3 linked regions of the Xenopus tropicalis genome follow. The protein of the gene in region 2 interacts with the protein of the main gene of each other region in a biochemical or structural test. Links are inferred from orthologs where the notes say so. Each region holds a gene or a part of one and is shown on either strand. Other genes may lie near its edges. The genes, in order: gc, acta1 and gsn.

Region 1 (4,249 bases), on a different chromosome or scaffold from region 2:
TTGTTAACAAAGGTGATACATTTAATATGTAACTAATATAAAATCCCTTTCTGCTCTATATAAAAATGAATGTTATGACATCTATCAAATTTGAATTATACATACTGTATTCTAAATGGCAAGTTCCTTCTGAATATAATGGTTTTCAGACGTAAGATAAAGATAGAGTCTTAAAACATTTTTGTTTTCCCTTGATACTTATGAAAAGAACTGTAAAAACTATGAATCTCTTTCAACCTTAATTCTAATTTAAAACTATTTCTGAGTTAAAAAGAATCATTTGAGAACAATATTGAAAATAAATAATAGAAAAGAAGGAGTTCATGCTTTGATAAAAACTTATATTGACTGCACAGAGCAGGTGTACAGTTTGGTGACAAAGTGGTTTTAAGGGTAACATCAGATTCCTAAGCTTTAGCAAGTATGAGCCTGGCGTGCTTGGCATAAACTGCATTTTCTTCTATTTAAGTGCCAGCTATGACTGTGATAAGTAGGTTCATAATAACTGATCCAAATACAAATTTTCTTTTGTGCACTCCATCTGTAGACAGTGACTTGGTAAGAAGATGCCAGAAAAGAGAAGAATTGTGACTGGCAAAAGATTCCACTGTCTTGTGCTCCTTCTTGTAGCTCCATTCACAGGCATGACATTGCCCTGTGTGAAGCTACATGGAGCAGATATTAGTGCAAAAATGCATACTTTTGCATTCCAGCATTCCATGTAGCTCCACGCAGGCTGATGCTATACCTGTGAATGGAGCTACAAGATGGAGCATATGAAGAAATCCGCCTGGGACAATCCGCCTAGGTAAAAAAAATTCAGGCAGATAAAAGCAGATAATCCCTTTCGTGTGCCTCTGCCTTGAATAGAAATAGGGTCACAGCAGAATCGTGTCTTTGTGCCTGATATCAACATTGCTTTCTTATCTTGTGCTCTCATTGGCACAGTATACAAATCATTGTAAAACAGCTAGGCACTGTAATGCAATATAAAAAAGACAATTACTGCTAGGGGTTTGGAATTTACAGGTATATTATACAAGGTAAAAATTACTGCAGAGAGCAGCATGCTGCCAAACAAATATAAATTATAGCAGTCATCCTTTGTCCCTTCAATATTCCACAAACTATGGTAAAATACAGTTTACAATAGATATAAATGTATAGCAAATGGTATAAGGTCTTCTCCTTCGTTGTATGAAATTAGACAAATTTGATTTGAAACAAGGGCCCCCACAGAAAAACTCATAATACAGTTTTAGAATCTTTTGGGACAGAGGTGTAATATTTCTGCATACTCAGCAGGCAACAGTTTTGCAGCAAAACTGAAGCATTTGAATGTGTCCTTAGTACAGATATGGGACCTGTTATCCAGGATGCTTGGAACCTGGAATTTTCCAGATAAGAGATCCTTCCATAACTTGAATCTTCGTACCTGAAGTCTAATAAAACATTATTTAAACAATAAATAAACCCATAGGATTGTTTTGCCTCCAATAAGGATTAATTGTTAGCTTAGCCGGGGTCAAGTACAAGGTACTGTTTTATTATTACAGAGAAAGTAGTTAGGCAGGTTATATATATAGTCATTATGGGTGAACGTGATGGACGTATGTCTTTTTTCAACCCAACTTACTATGTTACTATGTTACTATGTTACTATGTATGTAGAAAAGGGAAATACATTTTTAAAAAAATGATTTGATTAAAATGGAGTCTATGAGAGATGGCCTGTAATTCAGAGCTTCTGTATAACAGGTTTCCAGATATTGGATCCTATACCTGTATAAAGGTCCCAAAAAACATTGCAGATGAACATACAATGAGAAAATGGTGAAAAACTTGTGTCAATAAAACTAGCCAATAGCCCTGCATGGCTATTATTGGCCATATTTCCCTATCATCTGGGCATGTAGAGCACTCAGGGGGTTGGATAGTGGCAGTTTTCTTAGACTGTTTGTTAATCCTACTCAGATCTTTGCTGGTTTGTACAAACTGATATTTTATCTGTCAATTTAGGCATGCATGGCGCATTGGCAAATGTGTAAGTGAGAAGAGCTGCAACACTGTCAGATACACTTCTTTGCACCATATGCCTAAATTAACTAGCTAGCTAGCAGATTGATGGGTTGAGTAACTGTCACGTCAGCTTCTCTGAGGGTACTTCATGCTTTGTAATACATTCAATGCTTAATGCAAAACAGTGCACTTTGTCAGAAATGTACGCAATGTATGCATAATACACATTTTAATAAATTTGGCCCTACATTTACAATTTCCCAGTAGCTGGCTGCACATTTGCTGCTAACTGTTCAAGGGAAACAGTTACAGTGCAGTAAAGTGGCAAATAATTCCGTACACAAATGTATAAAGCAGCTCCAGTAGCACTGCACATTCTGTGTAACCTAGCAACTTTATAGCTTCTCCAAAAATGTTCAAATTGCTGTGCTTTTTTAAACAGCATTTTACATAGAACGTTTGATACCAGAAATTATTTACAGCCTGAATTAGTCTCATTGACTTCAATAAGTAAGGACAATGCAGATTTCAAATTTGCCCACCCAATTCAAATTTGCCCACCTTTATATTTTTGTCTCTCTCTATTCCTAGAAAGCAAGCATTTCGTTTTAAAGCAACAGTTGATATATAATGCCCTGACAACCCATTAGACAGTTATCACTATGTCAGAAACAAGCACAAAAGACAAACACTAACCTATAAGCTGCATTCACATATGGAATAACAGACTTTTCACAAAGCCTATGTCTAGCTGAACACTTTTTAGTAAAAAGCCAGAGCCTATATAAATACATTTATAAGTAAATATCTATATATTGCATATGTACATTACCTCTCTCATCTGCATAATTCATGGATATGGCTAGCAGTAGAACAATTAATCTCCTCATTTTTCAATGATTTGTGCTGCCAGACAATGTGCTTACAAATGCACCAACAGATAGTTCTACATATTTATATATTATTGTAATAAATCATTAATTTAAGCATTAGGCAAGGCAAGCTCAGCCCTGACCTTTGATTTAGAATAAACAAAAAAAGACAGCAAAATACAAATATGCAAAGGGAACCTTTCTGCAAATTCAGTCATTCAGTCAATCATTAATAAAAGGAAACTAACCCAGCATTGGTTAATGGGTTCATGGATAATTAATTTTACTTTTTGGGTTTTTTGTTTTTCATATACCATAATAATAATAACTAAAATAATAATAATAATAATACTACATACATTTAAAAATACCTTAAGCACCCTTCCAGCTACTATGAGAATTCTTAGCCAATAAACAGCCTTGCATTACAGCCTTCCATTACTCCTGTGACTTTTATAATTGGCTCAACTGCCCCTTCCCAGACTAGTACCTGTAGAACATGGGTCACACTGGACTCTCTTACCCAGAATGGGCCTTCGTTAAGTTAAAGAGGAGACTGCACCTCCCATGCTGCTATATAGAAAATAAGAACAAACAGGGTGGCAGAGGTTCTTGCAAACCAAAGAAGAAAGAAAGTTTATTCACAACACAGGGTTACTCACATATCCTTTTGGGGTAGTAATCAACGGAGCACAAATTTGTAATACGCTTTTGGAGATCTGCCTGTCAGGTTTCTAGATACATCAGCAGGGCCTCTCTCAATGGCCTGGATCCGCACACTAGATCAAGGAAAACACATAACCTAAATCCCTGTTCTGTATTATGGTCCCTACACTACAGGGCAGTCTTGCCTGAGGGGAGAGCTACATTCAGTTATCAATGCTTGCTGAAGCACAAGCTGTTGTTACTAGCTTCCCTTCCTATCTTACGTTTCTAGTACATACTCTGATAAAGCAAAACCTATCATTAACAACACCTTATTCCAGGAGTCCCTGTATCCTGAACTTCACCAATGGCCAACTACTCTTGGGACCTTTCCTTACTGGGTCCTACATCCCAGGCTCCCAGCAACATCCACCCTGTTACATGGGTGGAGGCCAAGGAGGAAGTGCCACCTTTGTCCCAAAGCTATATTAAGTGGCCACCCCACCTGCTATCCAATAGCATACACATGTAAATAAACTAAAATAGATACAATTCATTCTGCCAAGTAAGTAAGGGAACTAATCTTGTAGGGGTTTAAAGCCATAGGAGATTTTTAACCCTAAGGGTTCCTACACTCCTATGTAAGTTTACTATACACCATTATAGCTTGAGGAAACTTATTGTAGAATACAGACAAGTCAAATACAAATCAG
Region 2 (4,017 bases):
TTTCAGATAGAAAAATACACTTTAATGGTTCTGCCTAAAAGGGGATATCATTATACTCTGGAGTAAGTTTAAAAATGTCATATATATATATATATGTAAAAAATGCTGATGCACACCAGGAAAATTTTATCAAAAAAAAGATACTTAGTTTATTTAGATCTAAATAAACTAAGTATCTTTTTTTTGATAAAATTTTCCTGGTGTGCATCAGCATTTTTTACATATTTACATTGTTTATCTGATTTGCACCCAGGTTGTTATCCCTACCAAAAGCATATAACAGTGTTTACTTTTCAATTAAAGTACTTAATACTGAAGACTTACTTACTGCATAAAAATTTCATATATTTTTAAATGACAACAACTTCTGTTCTGTGCTTTTAGCTGAAAATGTCACAGTTTATGCATTCAGCTAATGTTATTAATGTGCTAAAATTAACTTTCCTTTAATTTAAAGTCTTTGTTGACACAAAGTATTTGCACAAATAAATGAAAATGGAAGACTCAAGTGGGGACTGGCATAATAAATTTATTATTGTTGGAAATTTTCATGATGCTTCTGTTAGATCAGTGCTTCAGTTATAAAACATCTTGAAATAAATTACAGTTTATGTACACTTTATATATTTCTTGAGTGACACTGACAATAAGGCAACAATGACAGAATGTGTTACAGATGAATTTACATTCGTGCCTTGGTATTTTAACAGCCCGTATTGAAGAACATTAATGCAGGTCTGGTCATTAGTGCAAAGATCAACATAACTATTTAGAAGCATTTACGGTGGACAATAGAGGGACCAGCTTCATCATATTCTTGTTTTGTAATCCACATCTGCTGGAAAGTTGAAAGGGAAGCCAGAATGGATCCACCAATCCAGACAGAATATTTACGCTCAGGAGGAGCAATGATCTGATTGAAAAAAAAAATACACAACTCATTAGCACAGAATTTAAGAATTTAAATACTGTACAAGACAAGTGGCTTGCTTTGCAGAATGTAACCAACTATATAGAGTTTGGATATGCACAAAGATGAGGGACGTATTTATGACCAATATGTGGGTGTAACCTATTTATGTAGATTTCTTCAGGTTAGAAGGAGAAAGTTAAAAAGCAAAATCAGTAAAAGATAATGGTTTTCGAAACATTTTATTTCTAACTGAAAAGAAATGATTTCTTCATATATAGGTGTGTGCATAAGATGGTTTGTGTCTTAAGTTTTCGGCTGTGTAAGTGTATGGCTTTATGGGTTATTTATACAGTAATAAAGATGACTAACTTACCTTGATTTTCATTGTGCTGGGAGCCAGGGCTGTAATCTCCTTCTGCATACGGTCAGCAATACCTGGGTACATGGTGGTACCTCCAGACATCACATTATTAGCATAGAGATCCTTTCTAATGTCAATATCGCACTTCATAATGCTGTTGTATGTTGTTTCATGAATACCAGCAGATTCCATACCTGAAAGATAGCAACATAAAGATATTAAAGATACCTTGAATCATTTATTTGGTATTGCGTTGTAAGATATACAGATATACTCACCAATAAATGATGGTTGGAAGAGAGTCTCTGGGCAACGGAAACGTTCATTTCCAATGGTTATAACTTGACCATCAGGCAGTTCATAGCTCTTTTCTAGAGAAGATGAGGAGGCAGCAGTGGCCATTTCATTCTCAAAGTCCAGAGCCACATAACAGAGTTTTTCCTTGATGTCACGAACAATTTCACGTTCAGCTGGAAATTAGAATTTTTTTTTTAATAAAGCAAACACTTACATATGAATTCATTACATAGTAACGTACAAAATAATTTAGGATGAGAACAGACACATGTCCACTGAGTGCTACTGTTTTAGGCTTTATGAAATAACTAGTTGATAGAGGAAAGCCAAAAAAAGAGCCTTTTTAATTTGCCTCAGAAGGGGGAAAATTCCTTCCTGACTCCAAGATGGCAATTGGACCAAGCCCTGGATCAACTTGTACTAAGTGATAATTTTGGTAACCCTGTATTTTCTCACTTGCTAAAGAGCCATCCAATCTCTTCTTAAAGTAAGCTCTTGATAAATGTAGTTCACACAAACACACATACACAACACACAACAATTAAATAAATTGATAGATTGTCTGGGTCTGATTTGTGAAAGAAGGAAATAGGGAATTTCAGGATTCTCAGCAGTTTTGAACTGAATATGGATTTTAAAAAATTTCTTTTCAGTCAGGACTATTTTTTGACAGCCAGGTATCAGAATGACTGCTTGGTATTTTAAATTCTGATTGAAGATAATGGACATAATCATCAAGCAGATTTGATCATGAATGTGCAGTAGTGGTAAGATAAGAATTATAGTATTGTTAAATAAGATGTAGACAATGCCAAAAGTTGCATGCCGCTGAATCCTTTACAGTTTATGGTAACATTAATAAGTTGCCAGTTTTTATATTTTTTTCTTGTAAATAAACTGCAGGAATTAATTGTTTAAATATTGCACCTGTGTGTTACACTTCTAGAATGTTTTAAAGATTCAGATGGTAAATATATACTAGGCCAAAAAGTGAAAACTGGGTTTGGCTTAAGTCATAGATATAAAAACACTGTGTTTATTATGAAAGCATATATTTTAGTATTACCAGTGGTGACAAAAGAGTAGCCACGTTCTGTCAGAATTTTCATTAAGTAGTCAGTAAGATCACGGCCAGCCAAATCAAGGCGCATGATGGCATGGGGTAAGGCATACCCTTCATAAATTGGTACATTGTGTGTCACACCATCCCCAGAGTCGAGCACAATCCCTAAAGAAATGAAGAAGGAGAGATAATAATCAATGTCTGCCCATTATGTTTTTTTGCAACATAAATATTAGTATGTGTGCTCTTAAAACTATGTAAAATACATATTATAGTATTGAAAAGATTGCATTTTTAATTTTTTTGTGAAAATTAGTAACTAAAATGATTCATAATTTCAGTTAAAATCTCTTTAGTAGGATTAGCTGACAAATTTATATATTGAGGCAAATGTCTTGTCAAACTTTTACAGTCTTACTTGGTTAAGAATATCTTATCTGCATTTAAAGAAAAGATCAGTTAATATCACTGTTTGCTTCTCACCAGTTGTACGGCCAGAGGCGTATAGAGAAAGCACTGCCTGGATTGCAACATACATAGCTGGGACGTTGAAAGTCTCAAACATTATTTGAGTCATCTTTTCACGGTTAGCTTTAGGGTTCAGTGGAGCCTCAGTAAGCAGGGTGGGATGCTCTTCAGGGGCTACACGCAGTTCATTGTAGAAGGTGTGATGCCAAATCTTCTCCATATCATCCCAGTTAGTGATAATACCATGTTCAATTGGATACTTTAGTGTAAGAATACCTCTCTTGCTCTGTGCTTCATCACCTACATAGGAGTCCTTTTGACCCATACCAACCATGACACCCTAATGAATAAAGAGAAGAATACAGTACATAAGATTTCAAAGAAACAATAATATCCAAATCCCAGAATCTGTAAGATGCCCTTATGTGTGTGCATGTACACACACATACACACATGCACTAAGATATACGTGTCGGGGAATACATTTTTGATAGAAAATTTTTGGATTGAATAACTATAATTAAACCGATGGAAAATAGAACTGGAAATAATTATAAAACATTTGAATTAAAATGGACTCTATGGGAGATGGCCTTCCCATAATTCAGAGCTTGATGGATAAAGGGTTTCCAGATCAGGGTTCCCATACTTTACAGAAAGACACAAACATCTACACAATACTCCAATAGAAAGCACTAATCTAAGGAAGTTACAGCAGCCTCTCTGGCATTGCCAGAATTTTCAGATTGTCAGTCTAGGCCTGGCTACTGGTATTACTATTTGTGCTGTCTTGATCCAGGTACTGGTCTGATTGCTATTTCAAAGTCGGGATTGAATTTTCTTCTCTGGCAAATTGGAGACAGCTTCGGATATGGTTTTTTACTTTCTCTTTATAAGCTAGAAATTGGCTATTTT
Region 3 (4,213 bases), on a different chromosome or scaffold from region 2:
CTCCTAATTAAATTCCATCCCGCGATGTAACGTATCACCGTTTGGTAGAAACAGTTATTAATTCATTAAAACAGCTGTAACCCATTGCGACCAATCAGCAGTCAGCTCTAAGCAGTCAGGCACAGGAATGCCAGTGAATGCCTGATTCTAATTGGCTGCTACGGCTGCAGGGACGCCAACGCGGCAGAAGTGAAAGACCATTACGTAACAGTGTTTTGGGGTGGGGGAGGGGCTAACTACATTGTTGAGTCACATGCCTTTAAAGCTAATTAGCATTCTCTCACCATTAATACAATTACATTCATTAACTTTAAAGGGGATGTTCACCTTAACCTTTAGTATAATGTGGAGAGTGACATGCTGAAACAATTTGCACTTGGTCTTCCTTTATTATTATATCTGGTTGCTAGGGTCCAAATGACCTTAGCAACAAAGCAGTGATGTGAGGAAAGGACCCGAATAGCAAGAAAAGTAATCAAATATAACCAGGGTCAGACTGGGGGGGAACAGGGCCCACCGGGGCTCCCGCCGGCCGCGTCTCCTAACCCCTCCCCCGGCAGGGGCCCCGCTAACCCCCCACGACATCCTCCCCTTAGCGCGTAAGTTTAACGCGTCAGGGGAGGAGCGGTCGGGCAGGGGGAGCGCCTGCATGGGTCATGTCTGGACCGCCGGGGGGTCAGTGACCCCCATTTGAAATAGTTGGAAGCAAAAGGTATATCATTCAGAAACTATATCAAATAAAAAAATGAAGACCAATTGCAAAGTTGCTACGAACTGGCCACTCGATAACATACTAATTTGAAGGTGAACCTCCCCTTTAACCTTTCGGTTGACTGCTCTACAGTTTCTCAGAGTTCCCTACAGCTGACGCTCGCCATGGAATTCTGGGATTTGTAGTCCTCCCCCCTCCCAGCAGTTTGACACCCCTGCTTTTGTTTTTCCCCACCCACTTGCTTTTGTTTTGCTGCATGCTCAGGTAGGTTGGCTCCCCAGAGGCTAGTGGGCACGTGGATGGTGGCCGGCTAGCAGCAAGAGCGAGCCACAGATGCAAAGGTCCCCTGGCCACCTGGCATGAGTAGCTGCTAGCCATGGGCAACAGGAACGCTGCCGGAGTTTGCTGTGTACCACCGGTGTGTGTGCTTTTCTATTCTCCTTCTACCCTTACCGGGGCATTTGCATGGAAGCTTCACCCTGGGGTATCTGCACTTTTTGCTACTGGCCACTAGGTGGCTAATTAAAGGGATGACACGCTGATGTCTCTGACCAGGTGAGCTCATTAGTTACCTGCTAAATTGCTCACTCACCTGTGAGACATCTAGGGAGCCGGGGAGGCCTGTGTGTCGGGGCCGAGGGATACAAGAACCATTGCTGCAAGCTCACTATCTATAGCCCAGAGTCCAACTGGCCCTCTGCAAAGGTACAAATCCACTCACTGGAGCACTTGTAGGGCAATGAAAGTTTGTTTTTGCCACTTTTTGTTATTGTGAGTTTGTAGAAATCACAATATATATAATTTCTGGGAGTTATAGTTCAGCGATGCAGTTTATGTTTCAGATGTTACAGCTCATATGGATCAGAGAAAGTATATTATATAATATATATAATATTGAGTATATTAAAGGGGTTGTTCACTTTTGAGGTTAACTGTTAGTATGATGTAGAGATTAATATTCTGGGACAATTTGCAATTGGTCTTCATTTTATTATGATTTGTAGTTTTTAAGTTATTTCATTTTTTGTTTAGGAGCTTGCCAGTTTGGAGTTTCAGCAGCTATTTGGTTGCTAGGGTCCAAGTTACCTTAGCAACCAGGAAGTGGTTGGGATGAGAGACTGGTTAATAATAATAATAATAATATTATACATTTATTTATAAAGTGCCAACATATCCCGCAGCGCTGTACAATAAGTGGGTTACATACATTGGACATACAGAGTAACATATAAAGCAACCAATAACCGATACAGGAGGGGAAGAGAGCCCTGCCCAAAAGAGCTTACACTCTACAAGGAGTAACATATAAAGCAATCAGTAACCGATACAGGAGGGGAAGGGAGCCCTGCCCAAAAGAGCTTACACTCTACAAGGAGTAACATATAAAGCAATCAGTAACCGATACAGGAGGTGAAGGGAGCCCTGCCCAAAAGAGCTTACACTCTACAAGGAGTAACATATAAAGCAATCAGTAACCGATACAGGAGGTGAAGGGAGCCCTGCCCAAAAGAGCTTACACTCTACAAGGAGTAACATATAAAGCAATCAGTAACCGATACAGGAGGGGAAGGGAGCCCTGCCCAAAAGAGCTTACACTCTACAAGGAGAAACATATAAAGCAATCAGTAACCGATACAAGAGGGGAAGAGAGCCCTGCCCAAAAGAGCTTACACTCTACAAGGAGTAACATATAAAGCAATCAGTAACCGATACAAGAGGGGAAGAGAGCCCTGCCCAAAAGAGCTTACACTCTACAAGGAGTAACATATAAAGCAATCAGTAACCGATACAGGAGGGGAAGAGAGCCCTGCCCAAAAGAGCTTACACTCTACAAGGAGTAACATATACAGCAATCAATAACTGATACAGGAGGGGAAGGGAGCCCTGCCCAAAAGAGCTTACACTCTACAAGGAGTAACATATAAAGCAATCAGTAACTGATACAGGAGGGGAAGGGAGCCCTGCCCAAAAGAGCTTACACTCTACAAGGAGTAACATATAAAGCAATCAATAACCGATACAGGAGGGGAAGGGAGCCCTGCCCAAAAGAGCTTACACTCTACAAGGAGTAACATATAAAGCAATCAGTAACCGATACAGGAGGGGAAGGGAGCCCTGCCCAAAAGAGCTTACACTCTACAAGGAGTAACATATAAAGCAATCAATAACCGATACAGGAGGGGAAGGGAGCCCTGCCCAAAAGAGCTTACACTCTACATATATGAATAGGAGAGGGGGTTAATAGAAAAGAAAGTTACCAAAAGTAACCATAAAAGTGCAGCCTCGCAGAGCAATAGTATTTTGGCTGCCGGGGTCAGTGACCCCTGTTTAAAAACTGCAAAGAGTTGGGAAAGGAAGGGAAATAATGAATAATAAAAAATAATGAAGACCAGCTGAAAAGATGTTTAGAATTAGCCATTCTATAACATACTTAAAGGTTAACCTCCCCTTTAACTGTGCCAGCATATAGGTGTATTTATAGGTCTATGGGGACTGCCATATTGTTCCCCTTGGGCTCCCGTTGTCCTTACAAGGCAAGACAAGCAGTATGGCAGCTTCTAATATTAGATATAAATACACGTGGAAGTGACTGCTCCATATAAAGGCGGCCATACGCAGGTCGCCAAACAAGCGGATCTTCTGATATGCTCACCTAAGGCAGGCGTTACTGGGCAAATGAGCCGTTGGGCGGAGGACCGCATCGGCTTGTTGATCCGAAGGGAAAATCAAACCTACCTGATTGAGATCTGCCCAATTTTAGACCAGTTATTAGTTGAGTACGCCTATCGGGCCTAAGGATGCTAATCTGCAGCTGAAATCTGCCCGTGTAAGGCCGCGGTAGGTATCTGGCAGTGTATATGTTACTGTGTTGGATGGATTAGGGGCAAGCTGTTTTGCAGCAGGGAAACTTGCCTTGTTCTCTCATTGTATGGCTGTTGTCAGGGTTGGCCTTAGGCCAATTAGACCTATCGGGCGCTATAGGACCCTGCATCAGGGGGAAAAAACATAAAACTGTTTAGCCCGCCCCCAACCATGATTGGCCGATAATGTTGATATGTGTTCTTGGACATTAAACACAAAGTGGGCACATACTGCTACCCCAGGGTACCCACTGTCTGTCACTGTGTATAGTGTGCCGGGGGGGGGGGGCAATAATCCCTGTCTCATTATGCTTGGTGTGTCAGTACCCTAGGGGGCCACATTGTGCCATGAAATGTTGGGGGCCAATGGAGCAAGAGAGGTGAAAGGGGGGTACTCAGTCAGTCAGAGAGCGAGAGGCAGGGACTATTTGCCCCCCCAGCCCTGGACCCTGTGCCAGCCCTGTGCCATTGGATTGTCGTATAGGTAACCAAGTATTTTAATTGCCTGTGATAAGTCCTGTGTTGTTTTTCTCAGGCCGGGGGAACCACTTCTGCTCTTTGTGCCGGGTTTGTCGGCTGTGGTTTTAGAACTGTACCGCGGAACTGCCACATTTTACACCATGTTGTCAAAACTTCCCTA

What was found.
Region 1: the proteins of acta1 (region 2) and gc are reported together in a solved structure, tested with the Homo sapiens proteins (2 studies listed by BioGRID and IntAct). The link is inferred for Xenopus tropicalis from reciprocal best matches to the Homo sapiens genes ACTA1 and GC.
Region 3: the proteins of acta1 (region 2) and gsn are reported together in a solved structure, tested with the Homo sapiens proteins (3 studies listed by BioGRID and IntAct). The link is inferred for Xenopus tropicalis from reciprocal best matches to the Homo sapiens genes ACTA1 and GSN.

The regions. Positions count from the first base shown.
Region 1 is NC_030677.2:81,069,028-81,073,276, reverse strand, and holds the start of gc (group-specific component (vitamin D binding protein) precursor), read right to left. Parts: upstream 2,931-4,249; 5' UTR 2,910-2,930; coding exon 2,852-2,909; intron 1-2,851. UniProt on the Homo sapiens protein: Involved in vitamin D transport and storage, scavenging of extracellular G-actin, enhancement of the chemotactic activity of C5 alpha for neutrophils in inflammation and macrophage activation.
Region 2 is NC_030681.2:57,887,686-57,891,702, reverse strand, and holds the end of acta1 (actin, alpha skeletal muscle), read right to left. Parts: intron 3,443-4,017; coding exon 3,118-3,442; intron 2,800-3,117; coding exon 2,638-2,799; intron 1,745-2,637; coding exon 1,553-1,744; intron 1,469-1,552; coding exon 1,287-1,468; intron 914-1,286; coding exon 770-913; 3' UTR 510-769; downstream 1-509. UniProt on the Homo sapiens protein: Actins are highly conserved proteins that are involved in various types of cell motility and are ubiquitously expressed in all eukaryotic cells.
Region 3 is NC_030684.2:9,708,338-9,712,550, reverse strand, and holds the start of gsn (gelsolin), read left to right. Parts: upstream 1-1,327; 5' UTR 1,328-1,417; intron 1,418-4,213. UniProt on the Homo sapiens protein: Calcium-regulated, actin-modulating protein that binds to the plus (or barbed) ends of actin monomers or filaments, preventing monomer exchange (end-blocking or capping).